Yarrowia lipolytica: one gene and its partners. The protein of the gene in region 1 interacts with the protein of each later gene in a pairwise test. Links are inferred from orthologs where the notes say so. Each region holds a gene or a part of one and is shown on either strand. Other genes may lie near its edges.

Region 1 (4,427 bases):
ATCTTGTGTCGGACCTGGCCAAAGGGAAGGCCAACAAGTTTCTCAACGATAGCCTGGGCACCCTGGTGCTGAGTACCGGTGAAGGTGAGCATAGAGTGATCTCGGTAGAGGTTACCGAGCTGAGACCGGTCGGTATCGAAGGTCTGGTAGTAGAACTCGCAGAACTGCTTGGCGAGGGTGTTGAAATCGACTGTGTTAGCGCTTGGAACGAGACGTATTAGGGGTGATACTCACCAGACATGATGGTTGTGGTAGATGTACAAAAAAAACAAGTGTTGTGTGTATGTATCTAGGGTAGTTTTAAAGTTAGGGTTTGGGAAATAAGGGGGGTGTTGGTTCGATTCCGGGGTGGGTAACACTCTCCAGTGACGAATTGAGGGCCAAAGTCAAATGAATAGTTTATACAAATCCACAAAATCTGTCCACTACATTTAATTACCTTCATTTTGGGCCTGTTTGCAGCCATTAATTACAAGCAATCGAAATCAGCTAAATATACTTTCAGTTAAGCGTTGCATTTTAGAGTTTGTATTAATAAGCACATGCCGAAGCTCTAGAAATTTCTCTGGAGGGTGAATATTCTGATGACAAGGGACGGACTCCAGCACCCAATTGAGATTGTTGCAAGCTGATAATTGTTCCGAAACTTACACTACTTCCATGGTCTTCTTATTGCTGATTTTACACCACTGTCCAGAAGTCGCTTATAGAATGTCAACATATAGGAAGCACGACCAATTTACTCTAACGCACAGGGAATTGCAGTGAGTGAATAGAACCAAAAAAAAGAGACTTGTATCCAGTTTCAGCTTCATCAATGGTCGAATTCAATGTTTCTCCCCTTCCTCAAACCTCTGCAGGCACTCAAGGACGAGGCCGAGGCTCGACCGGTCAAAAACCGAGTTCAGTCCTCCACCACTCTTATCGATCGACGGTCCTTCTACGCGTATCAATGCAATTACCCGGTCTAAGGGTTACCCGTCTTTGAGTGTGGCAAGGTTGATCAGTATCGTACTTGGACTTTTCTATAATCACCTAATTACCACTTTAACAATTACGCAACTATACATTCACAAGGCTACTTAGATAGTATTTACTTTTCGATACGAATACTCAACATCGTCCTTGCATTCCCCCAGCGATGAAAAGAGCAAACATAGAAAGCAAATATGAAAAAGCAAACGTGACTAAGCAAACGTGACTAAGCAAGTGTGACTAAGCAAACGTGACTAAGCAAACGTGACTAAGCAAGTGTGACTAAGAAAATGTGACTAAGCAAACGTCACTAATCGTTTCAAATCTCCACCGCCATCTCTGGTAGGGACACAACCCCGAAAGTGGCTGTACCCGTGACGTGCACTGCCATCATCGAAACGCCAGCCGCTAATCGATGTCTACACGCTGGCTTTATTCCGAAAAATTACATTACCAGTCAACATTCCCCACACAAGTTAATTTCAAAACGAGGGAGATGCTTCGTGTCGGACACGTGATATTGAACCGTCACTACATTAAATAAATCCAGCTGGATGCGGGCTTCTCAACCATCCTTGTCACGGCTCTCCTGCTCCATCCACCTGCCAGATCTCTACGGATATTAATCCGGGTAACCCTTTAGCGTTTCGTGTTGCGTCTCCACGGCAACCCGCATTATCCTGCCACATGTCGTGAACAACCTGCGTGAACCACTAGCTACAGGAACCAGAATACAACATCAACATGGCGGACGTTCAAGTTAGCATGGGCACCGAGCTGCTCGATGGCTGGGAGAAGGTGGACAATTGGGTGAGTGTGGGAAGTGAGGGAGCTGTCCACATGATGTGACTAAGACTCGTGGTATGGAGTAAGGGGGAGATAAGAAAGTGTCGGTATTGGTGTGATTCTTGAGCTGGCGGTGATATTTTCTGTTATAAACGGCTCCGTAGCAACGGATGAAGGTATAGTAAGCCCTGTCTGGTATATCCTCCATCTTCGCATCCAAGAGAGTCTTATTTGGGCCAATCCACGGGTTTCTCTGGAGTCACGAGGAGACGTGGCTAGGCGCCAATTATCTCCATTATCCTCTGCAACTTCACTCAAAGTTCTTACTAACACAGTCTCAACACGGAATCGCCTTCCTCTCGGATGTTCAGTCCTTCTACCGAGAACGAGCCTCCATTGAAAAAGAGTACTCCCAGAAGCTCTCTTCGCTCAGTTCTAAGTACTTTGAGAAGAAAGCTCGAGTGTCTTCCGTTCTATCAGTCGGAGAACATCCTGAAGTCACTCCTGGGTCTCTTGAATCCGCATCTCTTGTCACTTGGGGAGAAATTTTGACCCAGACCGAAACATTGGCCAAGGAGAAGAACCGTCTGGCGTCCGAGCTCAACCTCCAAATCGCCGACCAGGTCCATGCCCTGTCCCTGAAAAGTGAAAACGTCCGAAAGAACCTGCAAACGTTCTCTGAGAAGCTGATTGAGGACCGAGATGGATACTACTCGCTGCTCAAGAAGACCAAAAACGGCTACTACGACGCCTGCCAGGCTGTCGAGAACCAGCGGATGAAGGGCCAAAAGGGAGGAGCGCTGGGCGGTCTCATTGGTCAATCTAAGGAGAAGTTGGAACGGAAGCTTGAGTCGAAGAACGCCGACATGAACGACGCCAAAAATATGTATCTTGTAAAGATCAACGTCGCCAACCGTCTCAAGGACAAGTACTATCACCAGGATGTTCCTGAACTGCTGGATAGATACCAGGAACTCAACGAACTACGAGTCAAGCTGCTCAACGGACTCTTGAGCAAGGCTGCTTCTCTCGAAATTGCATGCAACAATCGATGCACCGAGCATATGAACGCTACCATTGAAATGGTTGCACAAAACCATCCCGTTCTTGACTCTGCCATGTTCACCAAGCACAATATTGCCCCTAACGGATGGGAGGAACCCATCGACTTCATTTACGAGCCGTGCCCTATTTGGCACGACGATGAGAACATGGTTCTCGATGATGTGGCTCTCAGATACCTGCATACTGTACTGGGCGACTCGCAGCGACTCAGCCACCAGTTCGAAGACACTATTGCGTCCAAGGAGGCCGGCTTCCAGGACTTGGAGAAGCGAAAGGCAACGAAGCTGGCCGAGGCAGACTCTGATTCAGCTTCCAACAACCACTTTGAGCTGCTTAGTCAGTCTATCAACGCTCTGAGAAGTCTCACGGTGGACGACACCAAGCGTACCATTGCAGAAGTCGAAACTGAGACCATCAAACACAACACTGGTGAGAAGGATCTCGACTCATACCAACCCGTTGTGATCAAGAAACGACACAACTTCTTGTTTGGCAAAAAGAAGATTGATCGAAACATTCCGGAACCGACACCGGTGAAACGAAGCAACACCACCACCTCAGGATTTGGCGGCACGGGAAAGTTGATTCTGGACACTCTAACATACAGAGAAGGAGACCCCATTCCATGGAACAAGGAGAGTTCTGCATTGGTGTTGTATAGATATGAACCTCAGGGAAGCGACGAGGTGTTCATTTCCGAAAACGAGCATGTGACTGTTCTTGAGACCGATGATGGCTCTGGATGGATTCGAGTGCGGAAGAGCGATGGCACTGACGGACTTGTGCCTGCTTCATATGTCGACATGAACCCTCCCAAGAGTGCCACCACACCATCCTCTGGAGGTGGAGGTGGAAGCTTGAAGTCTGCGTTCTCAATCAAACGAAAGGGTCCTCCTGTCGCGCCCAAACAGGGTGCCAAAAAGGTCGATTACGTCACCGCACTGTATGATTACAATGCCCAGGACGATACCGAGCTGTCGATCAAGGCCGGTGACCAGATTGTGGTGGTGGAGCCCGATAGAGATGGATGGACGGAGGGAGAGTTGAACGGACAAAGAGGTGCTTTCCCCACAAGTTACGTGGAGTAGCTGATGAGACCAACGACTCGAACTTTTCAGCTATGATGCTAACGAGTGGTATAAAGCATAACGAATAAGTCAGTTGTTTGTTCAATGATATTGCTACTTTTTGTTCACCTACAGTGCGATCGTAATTATATACGCGCTGATGGTATTAATCATACAAGTACAGTACGCTGGTAATCGAAGATCACCGCCCAGAAGTTCAATCTACCACTTACACCAGTATAGTATGTAATGTACAACAGCCACACAATTGCCTCTACGCGGAAGCCGCTCATATCTATATTGCAGAATAATACACAATCATTTATTATACACACACGTCCCACTAAGGAGTGGGAGAATCATCATATCGAGGAGCATCATCCGTGGACCAGGCTGCAGGGGTTTCGGCCTGAGCAGGTCCAGAACCTCGAGGATCATAGACACCCGGAGTTCGCGCGTCGTTATAGGCAGCAGGTGTCGGAGCAGAATCTTCCCAAGGATGGTGAGCAGCACCTGGAGTAGGGGCACCCATCA
Region 2 (3,989 bases), about 1.5 Mb from region 1:
TCTCCAGAGCCTTCGGACGACGAATCCGAGTCGATTATGGTGGTTCGTTTCTGTCCCGCGTTTTTCTTTCGTTTGAACATGTTGCTGGAGAGTTGAAGTGGTGTGCATCAGGTTGGCGATTAACGTTTGGATGATGGATGATGTAGTTGGGAATTGGAGGAATTAGTTGGAAATTCGGAGGATGGTGACAAAATGAAGAAATCTAGTTGGAATAAAGGAGAACATTAGTTGGAAATTGAAAGAACGTAGTTGGGGATTTGATGAATTTAGTTAACAAAATGGAGGAATGTAGTTGGGGTAGTTGAGTGGAACGGAACGATATAACTCCATCAAGAACGAAGATTTTGATTGCAAAAGAAAAGATTCAAGTCACAAAAGAACAAGCAATAATCCCAAAATCATTCACCAACTCTCACCCCCCAGACAACAAGCCACAACCTGTGCTTCTGACAATGTACTGTACTCCACCACCGCCCAACTCATTAGCCAGGGACAAGAACTGACAGAAACAAAAAATACAACACTAATGGCCTTTCTAAACCACCCCTTAACTCCCCCTTACTAAACTCTGCCTCTACATCACGTGACCCTTCAAACTGCTCGAGAACTCCGCCTGATCCGCATCGGACCTGAAAACTTGTCCGACAAGGGTGTCGAATCGACCAAAATCGAAGCCAGAGAAAAACCAAGCATATCACGAGATTCGCCTCGTCGACAGCTCCATTTTGAGGCGTCCAAACGTCCCGTTCTCGGCCGGGCCAGCTCCCACGGTCTATTTTTAAATTCCCCGAACCATGTTAATACCTCACGCCAATTTTCGCTGAAACTTTTTCTGCAAGGGCAACCATATTGGGATATGTACAAGTAGCGGGAGTTCGGAGCAAGTGAAGCCATGAGAGAAAAGAACATGGGTTAGGTATTATTGGCAGTATCAGGGTCGGGATACTACCCGATCCGGATCACTACCCTTACCCTTACCCTTACCGGAATACTACCCTTACCGCCACCCTTACCGCCACCCTTACCACCACCCTTACCACCACCCTTACTGCTCCATTCGCTCCCCAATAAACTTTGCCATCACCCCAGATTAGAAAGAGCGTGCATTTGGGAGGTGGGGGCATTGGGTCCTAAAAGATACAGCCCTTCCCAGATTCAGATACCAGTAACCACTTACACACACGGCGCGGGGGATCAAAAACCGGCACAAAAAGACCAGGGGCTCCAGAGAGAGAGAGAGAGAGAGACAGAGAGAGACAGAGAGAGAGAGACAGAGAGACCCATTCAAGTGATATACGGGGAGAAACCATTCAAGAGCGCCAATTCCGACCAGCAACCGACGAGAACAGCCGTGGAATTCTGGGGACTGTTTATTTACATCCACGTGATACTGCCGCGGCGACATTTGAGCATTTAGGAACAGCAACGACGACCAGATCAACAGGCGCGTTGCACGTGATTTGACCATTGGTTTGAATTGATTGGAAATCACGTGATATCCCGTCTTGGATCACGTCGAGACTTGAGCAAGACCGAGGTGATCGACTCCCAACAGAGAGAGAGAGAGAGAGAGAGAGAGAGAGAGAGAGAGAGACGAAGCCATTTGTGACTTGCACGTCGAGCACGGACTGCTAAACTACAACACTGACCACACTGACCACTAAACTACAACATTGACCACATTCGTTTCGGTCCATCATTGGTGAGTAAATATGCCCTATCTCAAGGGGAAAGGTCAAACTCAGCTAAGACCGCCATACTAACTCAGCTCACAGACAGCCCATCATCGCTAACCGGTTCACTCTATCAATCCAATGATGGAAACACTACTGGAAAGTCTCATGAGCTCCGTCTCAGACGAGCCTCTTCTTGCACCGGACATTTCCATTCCTCCAGAAGAAGATGGCGACATGTCGGACTCGGACTTCTGGACCAAACTGCTGGATATAGTCTCTGTGAAGACCCACTCATATCCCGTGGTCGAGTCGGCACTGAAGGACTACCTCCTATTTGCAACTAAACATTTATCTGATTTTCTCGTCTCCGACAACGATCTCTTTCGAGCAGGATACAAGCTGACCACTTCTCCGATTTTCACGCTCCACAAAGCCTTCACCCGTCGCAAATTGATCGCCATGTTGACGTTGGCAGAGGAATACACAGACCTGGCGGCGGTGGTGTCTTTGATTCTGCTCATAGACTCTGATTCGCATCCCGCCACTCTGGAAATGATGCAAGAGGAAAACGCATGCCATGCGCTGACTCGGCTCTTGCTGACGTTTCAGAAGACGTCGGCTTTACGGCTCAGAAGAGTGTTGCTCGAGCTCACGTTTGAAATGTGCAAAATCCAGCGAATTTCCACGTCAGACTTGGAAAACATTTCCGACAAGTTTATCGACTCGCTCTTGAGGACCGTTGTCAACGCAGACAGAGACGATACCTCGCTGTACGACGCTTCCGTCATGAAAGTCTTGCTCTGTCTCAATGAGCAGTATATGATTGCAGCTTACGATGAAGACGAAGAGTCGGGGATTTATTCGAGTAAAGTGCTGGATCTGATTTCCCTAGATATCGACGGATACGTGGAGTTTGGCGCAAAGTTGGTGCTGTTACTGAATCGAGCGATAGATACATGTCTTCAGATCATGGGTCTGAAGCTGTTGTATTTGTTGTTCACGAATGAACCCACTTATGAGTATTTCTACACAAACGATCTGTTGGTGCTCATCGACGTGTTCATTCGAGAGCTCCACGACTTGCCCAATGACGAAGAGCAGCTCATTAACACGTATTTGCGAGTTCTCCACCCACTTATGGTCAACTCCCAAATCAGACACGAGCCGTACAAGATTGAGGGTCTGACTGATGTGTTGGAGATGCTTTCAGGTCACAAGGGAAGTAGTACTTTCCTTCCAGTATCAGAGACGACATTACGACTGGCTGTGAGATGTCTCGGAGTCCCGTGGCTGGAGTACACGTTCCCGTCTCCCATGAGCACCGTTCCCCCCTCTCCCAGTTCTTCTATCGGCTCGTTCAACGAGGAGGAGAGCCCCTCAAAGATCCGAGTGCCCAGCATTGGTATGACCGATTTCAGTGGTACTCGGCGACTTAGTCAGAGTTCTCTGGGCACCAATTCGGCCATGTCATCCACCACATCGCTCATTTCCTCACTCAAGCTTGCGCCACCGCCTCCACCGTCACGTGCGTCGTCCAAGGGGCCTCCCGTTCCTCCTCCGTCTAGAGGCAAGTCTCCGATGCCGCAAATATCACGGGTCAAGAGTCCAGCTCCTCCTCCGCCGCCGAGCAGGAATTCTCCTGCGCCGAAGAAGGACGTGAAGGAGTCTCGTGACAAGAAGGACAAGAAGGAGAAGCCGCGGCTGCCTCCCAGCAGAAAGAAACTGCTCGACATGAGTATCAGAAATACCAGCGTGGGAGATTTAAGTGTTGCCGAGCGGGAGTAGGAGATGGAGTTATTGGGTCAGAGCATGAGTATGACCAGGCAATCATCCTTGAGGGACGGTCATAGGTAGAGATAGAGGCTGGTCTTGTGATACTCTAGTTCCATGGTTCCATGGAGTCAGGGCTCGCATACCATTGAATCATCTCAGAGTCTTGTCACCGTTCATTTGGTAAGAGTCTTGACAATGGCAAGAGTACACAACACTGACAAGAGGGTCTATGTGAGGCAAGTAAAAGGAAATGGACCAGGAGGACATAACAGAGTCCAAATCAGCATCTATTTATACTACCACAATACTGTATATAGTTCAAAACACAATCCAACAATATTAGAGGAGTGAGTAGCTGTAGAACCGTCGCCAGGAAGGTTTCTGTTAGATCAATCAGAGTATGTACTACAAGTACTGTAGTATCTACGAGTAGCGGCGGCCAGTCTCTGGTCTGACTTCGATCTGGTGTCGCAAATGGAGGGCTAGGTAGTGTCACATTTCTGAGCCCTAAAGTGGTTGAAGAGACATGAGAAACACACC
Region 3 (4,453 bases), on another chromosome or scaffold:
ACTTGCTACATATACCTCCATCTCCTTTAACGACAGCTTTGGTAAGCGGAGGTTTAAGCTCGATAGGGTTGTGGGATTCGGTGGCGAGGGAATCTGGGATGGGGGGTTTGGGGACTACACAGTGGGGTTATTAGGATATATATATATATATATATATATATATATAGCGGGGAATCAATCTGTGGACCTCGAGGAGGGTGACAATTGTGTGTGTATTTTTGTTATTACGTAATTGTGGCGTGAGATACATGGCGCACTTGTGTACATGGTAGCTGCTTCATGGGGTTTAGAATATGCGTAGAGACCCAACAATGAGTGGGCAGTTTGGTTCTAGGGGGGGTTATATTACACCGTAGGGGGACACCGTAATTGAATCTTACACAGATACTTACAATAGGCTTCTGAAAAGTCTTTTTTTTTTCTTTTCTGGAACGATTTCGTCCCCCAAAGTTTCGTCACAAATCTTACTTGGATTGCAAACAAAATTACTTTGATTTGTTGACTTCGAGACAGTTACAAAAAAAAAATTAGATAACTTTTCATAGTGTCTTGAGAACAACCACCTCTCGTGTTTACTGCAAAATGTAACTCATATTTTATAATAGTCCTAATCTGTCAGCTTCCCCGATCACATAGATACCATAAAATACAATATCCAAGTAATATATCACCTGATCAGTGCCCAAAACAAACCTCCATATCTATGCGGCTCTGAATTTGTCTTGTTCAGGTTAAGAGCAAAACTGAATTTAGAACACTCGACTGCTTAAGCTTTCGTTATCGAGCCGGAGGCGCCAAACGGATAAACCCAACATGACTATACAGCATACACACACACCCAAGAGGGAATGACAGGACACGTTATGTCGATTTACAAGTGTTCGCGACCCTTTTCTCTCATTAAAACTTCCATTTGGGCGTCTTGTTGCTGTGTTGCGTTGCTCTGCCCTTTTCCAATAAAGTTTGCTTGTGCGAGATGAGCTTGTTAACGGTTGTTTGAGAGTACAAGTACTCGTATGTACTACAAGTAGTGCTGTAGGAGGAGTCTAAACGGGATGTTTAGTAAGCCGGATAGTGGGGATACGTTGTTGGACACGTGATATAAATTTCTGCAGTTGTATGTATGTAATACATCTCTATAGATTACCCCCAAAAAGTCCACCTGTGTGTGTCTCCGTGCAACCTGCATACAAGTGAGGCAGCACAATAGCAAGTGATACATAGCAGCATCCCCCAAAGAGACGCTACTGGGGTAAACCGCCGCGAAGAAAGAGAAAGAAAAAAAGCTTTCGAGTCGTATATCATGTGCGAGACACCACACGACCCTTTTCCTCTTTGGTCTCTGCTCTTCTGACCCTCTCTTGTGACCTCTACTTGCCATCTCCCATCTCATCCATACATACACCACACGTGGATTATACTTTTTGGACTGGTCTCTTGTTGTCTTGTCCGAAAGTGAAGTGTACTTGTAGTGTGTCTGGATAACCGAACTTGTGATCGATCGATTCGCTGCACCGGTATCATGTTTTTGGCGCGATCCACGCGGCTGTCTCTCGCGTCACGTGCCCCGCTCAGTCGCCCGTTACTCGTCCACCAAAGACACTTTTCGCCGACCCTCCAGAACGCCTTTTTATCGGCTAAAAAAGAAGTTACTGCCACCACCGCACGCAAGCCCACCACAGTAGTCGCGTCCCCCAGACCCAAAGGAGCGCTCCGGTTCGAACACAAACGGAGCTTGAAGCCGTCGAAAAACGTCGTCACTGCTCTAACACCAGCCTCTCAGCCCCCTCCGGCCCCCTACATTGTCAAGAAACGCCACTCGTTTGTCTACCGGTTTTTCAAGTCCATCTTCACCCGCTGGAGCAAACAGCAGCGGTTGGAACGGCGCCTGAAACGCGAAGAGCGCAAGAAACGACACAAGGCCGGTCAGCCCAAGGGACGAGACATTGCCCGATTGCTGTACTACTACAGAGCGACCCGAAAACCATACTACTTCAAGCACTGGCTGAGAATGAGTGGATACAACACGCGCAAAATCTGGCAGTCCATCAAGACCAAGTCAGAAACGTTTGTGGCTGAGAAATTGACCCAGAACAACGAGCCGTTGGATCTGTCGGAGACGAACCTGGCACCCACAATCACAGCTTACCCCACCTACTCTCGAATGCTTCCTGATGGAACCCATGAGGTGGATATTAAGGGAACCATCTCTGTGCCTGGAGAATGGACGTCGCGAAAGAACCGGTTTATTCTGAACATGGTCAGATCGTATCTCAGTGGCAACTCCGAGGAAAAACTGGAACGAGATATTGCCGCATTGGAAGAAATTGAGAAGGAGAGACAGGGCCGAATGAGTACTAGGGGGTTCAGAAATGGAGCACAGAGTGCCAGTACCCCGGATTTGATTGATTTGGACGGATCTGAGTCGGTTTCGTCTAGATCGACTACTTCTTCACGTGCTTCATCCGTGAGGGATGGATATGAATCTCCCTCGCGTGATTCCCCTACTGCCGGTAGAAGACGAGTCCCCCCTCCCCCTGCTAGTCGCATCTATTCCAGCAGAACAACCACTATTGCCAGCAGCATCTCGCTGGACTCCACTGCCAGTTCTCAATCACTCCCCGCTGACTCTTCCCTGGAAGACACAATCATGAAGGAGCGGTTTGCGCCATTTGTGGCTCAGCCGCTCGTCAACGCCGTCCTCGATGTCACCATTATAGACGACAATGAGCACGCCACGTCGACGACTCTGCATTCCCACACTTCGGGTAAGTTTGGAACTGCTTTGCGGCTCGATTTCAAGCCAACAATCATGAAAATCCATGTCAGAAACACACCCTATTCGGTCCAGCAGGATCTCATCGATGTGTCATATGAGGGAGTGTCTCTGATTTCCGATATTGATGACACCATCAAACACACTGGAGTGACTGGAGACAAAAAGGCCATGATCAAGAACGTGTTTGTGAAGGATCTGGACGGCCTGAGTATCCCTGGAGTGGTGGAGTGGTACAACAAGTTGTCAGGACTGGGTGTTCAGACCCATTACGTCTCGAATTCACCCTGGCAGCTGTACCCGGTCATCAAGGAGTATTTGCACATGCACGGCTTCCCTAGAGGATCCATTCATCTGAAAGACTACGCTGGAGTCTTGTCTCAGCTTTTTGAAGCCCCTGCTGAACGAAAGAAGTTTAATTTGGAGCAGATTCTGCGAGACTTCCCCCAGCGACGCTTCATTCTCGTTGGAGACTCCGGAGAGGGTGATCTGGAGGCCTACGTGGAACTTGCCAAGGTCTATCCCCAACAGATTCTCGGCATCTATATTCGAGACATTACGTCTGACCGAGAACTGGACTACGACTTTCTTAGAGTCGAAATTGCTGCTCTCAAAAAGGAGGCTGATGAACGAGAACGACCAATGAAAGTGGCGCGCAAGCCTGTTCAGCCTGTAAACCTCATGGACTCTCCTATCGGCAAGAAAGTGCCTCCTCCTGTTCCTAGAAAGCCCGTTGGTCTTGCTGGAAAGAAGACCGATGAGAACGTCGACCGAGAACACACTGGAAAACCGGACTCCGCTGCGTCCAATGCTGCCATCGCTGCTACAGCGGCCTATGGAGCCCCCCCTCTGCCTCCGAGACGCAAGATTCAGCCTGAGACTATGAGAAGCATTTCTGATCAGGTCACCAGTGGATCTATGAACGTGGCAGCATCTCAGGAGACGGATGAGACACCTAGACTGTACTCTGACAATGATCGGCAGTTCAAGTGGAAGGAGCGGGTGAGACGAGCGCGAAGGGAGTTACCTGCTAATGTCAGATTGAGACTATGGAAGGAGCCTCCAAAGGTCGAAGGGGAGACACTGGAGCTGGCAAAGACGGTGGAAAAGGAACCTATTAAGGAGCTGTTATAGTCATGTAAAAAGCTCACCCAGAGCTGAAGCGAGTCGTGATCTAGAGCGGCTCTAGACTGAAGTACAGTAGGAACAACGAGCCTTTCTGGAAACGGTAGCATTTTAAATTATTTGATTAGATTTTACCTTGTTAATTTTTCAAGTAGGATTTGCTGTGTTGTAGGAGTGTACAGTATGTAGTGATATACTGCGTGACATTGACAGTTCAGCGTATCTCTCTATACTGTCTCTGATCGATTGGTTTGTTCTATAAACCTCAGAGATACTGGTGAAGTTCAGGTCCGAGAGAGTAGTACAACCAAGGCCGGAGAGGAACGAACTAGGCATGAGGATAACAAACTATTTCTATGGGCGAGAGGTTGTCATCCATTGAACGTCAACTCTCGAGTGTTTCTGGTCATTCTTCAACCTCGGCGGCTATCGAATACACGGCTATATGCAGCGGGGCTGTGTGAGTCGTGACCTACAAAAACGACTCCACAATCAGCTCTTCCTGGGCACAATAAGAACAGATGGGATTATACCAAAAGACATTAGTCTCGG
Region 4 (3,173 bases), on another chromosome or scaffold:
GCAGCTTCTCAATCGCTACATGGGCACACAGAGCCATGCGAGCAGGAGTCTCGTTGGGCTTCATTGGAATTGTCTGAGCCTTGCCCATGAGCGTGGATGCGAGATTTGTCACCTCCCTTGGAATCGGAACGTTTCCCACCAGCTTGACAATCTCCGCGTTGATTTGTTGGTTCATGGTGAGTGTACTGTTGCGTCACATCCAACTTTTCAGATTGTCCCGTTCTTGTATTAAACTATTAGAGTTTGGGTGGATAACACTGATCAGGATATGATAAAAGTTCGTATGTAGGAGCCAAGTAGGAGTGATAGGGACATGCCCTACGGTATGTAGATAACTCATAGTTTTGTCTCACTTGTAACTATATACAGGTAGTCAATTTCCGTATCATCCTCCTCAGCATGTCCACCATTATCTATTATTATATGTAAAGATTGTTCCACCGTTAATTAAACCGTACCTGTTCTCTCTCACTCTGGGCTCTCTGTTTTGTTTTGTTTTGAGTCGCGTTGTTTTGTTTTTATGACCATTAGCTTGCTGGTCGTCTCCTAACTGAACCACTTCAAGATGTAATAGAAACACACGAGCATGAAGACGATGCCTCCGTAGAAAAACCGTTTGTCCTGTCGTGCTCTCTTCTCCACCATCTTGATGGTCTCTCGAGACAGACCCAGAGTCTCGGCCACAGACCGCATCTTCTTTCCGGTGCTTCTCAAAATGTCGCTCTGCTCCTGCAAGTCGCCCAGAGCAGCCATTCCCTGCTCAATGAATGAGTCGAGCTGCTGGCCCACCTGGTTCAGAGACGACTGTTCCCTTTGCATGCCCTCTTCTCGTGTAAGATCTGTGTAGGTCGGCTGAATCGGCACGTCTCGGTTCACGTTTCTGTTTCGCGACTCGCCGTAAGGGTTGTCTCCAAACAGCGCCGTTTTGTTCTCCTCTAGCGTTTTCTCTTCTCGGGCCGATCTGAGGTTCTTGAACTCGCTTCGTGCGTCGGCCAGCTCTTCACGAAACCGAGCCAGACGTGCCTCAGCCTTTTCCTTCTTCTCCTTGTTGTGTTCCTTGTTGATAATTTCCGAATAGTCGTCCAGGGTTCGGCTGAAGGAGGTCATGGTAGCCGAAATCTGGCCTTGTAGCGACATGGGCGCCCCTGCGGGGTTGGCGGAGAACTCGGACAGGTCCTTCTTTAAGCTGGCATTCTGCTTCACCAGATGGTTGTGAATCGCGTTCATGGTGAAAGTAGCTAGTTTGCGGTACGAGCCCTCGTTGTTTGTTAGATGACGTGTTAGGTTGGTGATGTATCTCCAAGGTGTGAGTAGTTCCAACAACCTAAACTTTTATTGTTGTGGTTGGCACAATGTGATGTGCACGGGATGCACTGCTTTCGGAGTCAGGGGTACAAAAATGGATTTATGGAAAGTATGGCGAGGTTTTTGGAGCTGAACTACAAGTAGAGGTTTAGATAGCGCAAGAATTTTTTCAAGGGGCCGTTAATAGGACAACGTGCTTTTTTTTTCTTTTTCCCCTGCATACAAGTACCAGGTGGAGCTGAGTCCAAGTAAACATCTACTAAACTTTGAACTAGCTGCTCGTTCTTAACAAGCTTCAGGCTGTAAATTGTACAAATGCAGAAGAAAAAAAAAGTTGGCTACGAGGGCATCACAACTCATCAATAATAGATAGCTATGCAGCTATACAAGCAGGTTCGTACCCGCTCATAAGCAAGCCCGCAAGCTTGCTCACTCTCCCCTTCTTCCGTGAAGACTCTATTAGCTATGTACAAATAATTCTCCCTTAAGTAACGTACTTTCGAGAGTAAGCGACCTTCTTGTCGAGAGTGCTCATTCGGCCCTTTCGCCACATAATGACAAGCATGACGGTGGTAAACACACACACGCCGTACCAGGTGGCAATATACTGTAAATGGGTGTTTCGAAGATCGACCTTGGGCAGCTTTCCAATGGGCACTCCATGGTTCATCATATGGGACTCGGTGACCCACTCGTGGCCTCCGAGGCGCATGTTGAGCTCCTCCTCCAAGTAAATGTTCTGAGCTCCGGTGAACTTGGACATTGTCGGAATGTCCATGAAGTTGTAGATTCGGACACTGGGGGAAGTTGGGGAATCGGGAGTGAACATGTTCTTGAGAGGAACAGGTCTGAGCAGACAGACGAGAGAAACCTCGCCCTTGGGCAGAGCGAGAGGGTCTCGTTTCTTTTGGTCCGCCATCTCCTTGGAAATCCAGCCTCGCTTAATCAGCAGCTTGGATCCACCGGTCTTAGATCGGTCGAGAGGAGTCACAAGGAAGTAGCCCTCGACAGAGTCCTTCATTCGAGGTCCGACCAGGAACTCTTCATCGTGGCACAGTGTACCAGTAACCACCACCTTTCGGTACTCAAACTCTCTCTCCAGAACCTCCTGGTCCTCGGTAATGTGTCCAGGCAGGGGCAGAGGCTCCTGGAGAAGTCGGTTCTCACAATCGGCAATCTTGTCCACCTTCCACTGCAGACGTTTGACTTGCCATGTGCCAAGGTAGCCCGAAATGATAGGCATGAGGGCACAAAGACCGAGGAAGACAAAACGCTTTCGGTTCTTCTTCTGTGATTGCGGCTCTGGCTCGTCGCTCTCCAGCTCGTTAGCTCCAGACTGCTTCTTCTGCTGCTTAGGTTCTTCACTGTTGGTGTTGAACATGTTTTTGTTGTTAAGCAGAGCGCTTCTGGTCGAAAACTGTCGAGAGGCACATTGAGGGGTCAGTGTAGTGAAGGCAGGAGCTGTGGTGGAAATCCTTCCAATGCGGCTAGCGCCATATCGAGCCACTCTGAGAACTTGCATTGTTGATGAGGAAAAGTGGCTAAGTTTCGATATAGAATTGAGTATCTGCACGTTGTGCTGACTAAGTGTGGCTAGTTTGGGAGATTGTGGCGCAGTAGCCAATCGGCGAACATGATGCGGAACATGTTTGAGCGCACTAAACCACATTAAAAGTACTGAGACAGATACTATAAGATTCATGGAATTATCCCTTGTACTGTACGTATACTTGCACCTGCTATATTCGCCACAGATTAGGACGGAATTGGAGTTTTTAGTATGTGGTCTACGATTGTGCTGTTTGTCCACTTCACAACTACCCTCTGTGCTGAGTAGCATATGTCATGGTGGCATCTTCCGGCTGTGT

The links.
Region 2: the proteins of YALI1_C16255g (region 1) and YALI1_C30884g interact in binary tests that used the Saccharomyces cerevisiae proteins (3 or more experiments, as listed by UniProt). The link is inferred for Yarrowia lipolytica from reciprocal best matches to the Saccharomyces cerevisiae genes BZZ1 and LDB17.
Region 3: the proteins of YALI1_C16255g (region 1) and YALI1_D02546g interact in binary tests that used the Saccharomyces cerevisiae proteins (3 or more experiments, as listed by UniProt). The link is inferred for Yarrowia lipolytica from reciprocal best matches to the Saccharomyces cerevisiae genes BZZ1 and APP1.
Region 4: the proteins of YALI1_C16255g (region 1) and YALI1_F39272g interact in a two-hybrid assay, tested with the Saccharomyces cerevisiae proteins (2 studies listed by BioGRID). The link is inferred for Yarrowia lipolytica from reciprocal best matches to the Saccharomyces cerevisiae genes BZZ1 and BOS1.

Annotation. Positions count from the first base shown.
Region 1 is NC_090772.1:1,623,175-1,627,601, reverse strand, and holds YALI1_C16255g (uncharacterized protein), read left to right. Parts: upstream 1-1,719; coding exon 1,720-1,785; intron 1,786-2,096; coding exon 2,097-3,914; downstream 3,915-4,427. Other genes in the region: YALI1_C16275g (uncharacterized protein), read right to left, coding at 1-92; YALI1_C16204g (uncharacterized protein), read right to left, coding at 4,237-4,427. UniProt on the Saccharomyces cerevisiae protein: Plays a role in endocytosis and trafficking to the vacuole. Functions with type I myosins to restore polarity of the actin cytoskeleton after NaCl stress.
Region 2 is NC_090772.1:3,086,279-3,090,267, reverse strand, and holds YALI1_C30884g (uncharacterized protein), read left to right. Parts: upstream 1-1,814; coding exon 1,815-3,461; downstream 3,462-3,989. Other genes in the region: YALI1_C30901g (uncharacterized protein), read right to left, coding at 1-80; YALI1_C30859g (uncharacterized protein), read right to left, coding at 3,730-3,989. UniProt on the Saccharomyces cerevisiae protein: May be involved in protein-linked oligosaccharide phosphorylation since the deletion reduces the negative charge of the cell surface.
Region 3 is NC_090773.1:251,673-256,125, reverse strand, and holds YALI1_D02546g (uncharacterized protein), read left to right. Parts: upstream 1-1,522; coding exon 1,523-3,910; downstream 3,911-4,453. UniProt on the Saccharomyces cerevisiae protein: Mg(2+)-dependent phosphatidate (PA) phosphatase which catalyzes the dephosphorylation of PA to yield diacylglycerol. May play a role in vesicular trafficking through its PAP activity at cortical actin patches.
Region 4 is NC_090775.1:3,925,982-3,929,154, forward strand, and holds YALI1_F39272g (uncharacterized protein), read right to left. Parts: upstream 1,228-3,173; coding exon 547-1,227; downstream 1-546. Other genes in the region: YALI1_F39261g (uncharacterized protein), read right to left, coding at 1-175; YALI1_F39291g (uncharacterized protein), read right to left, coding at 1,790-3,145.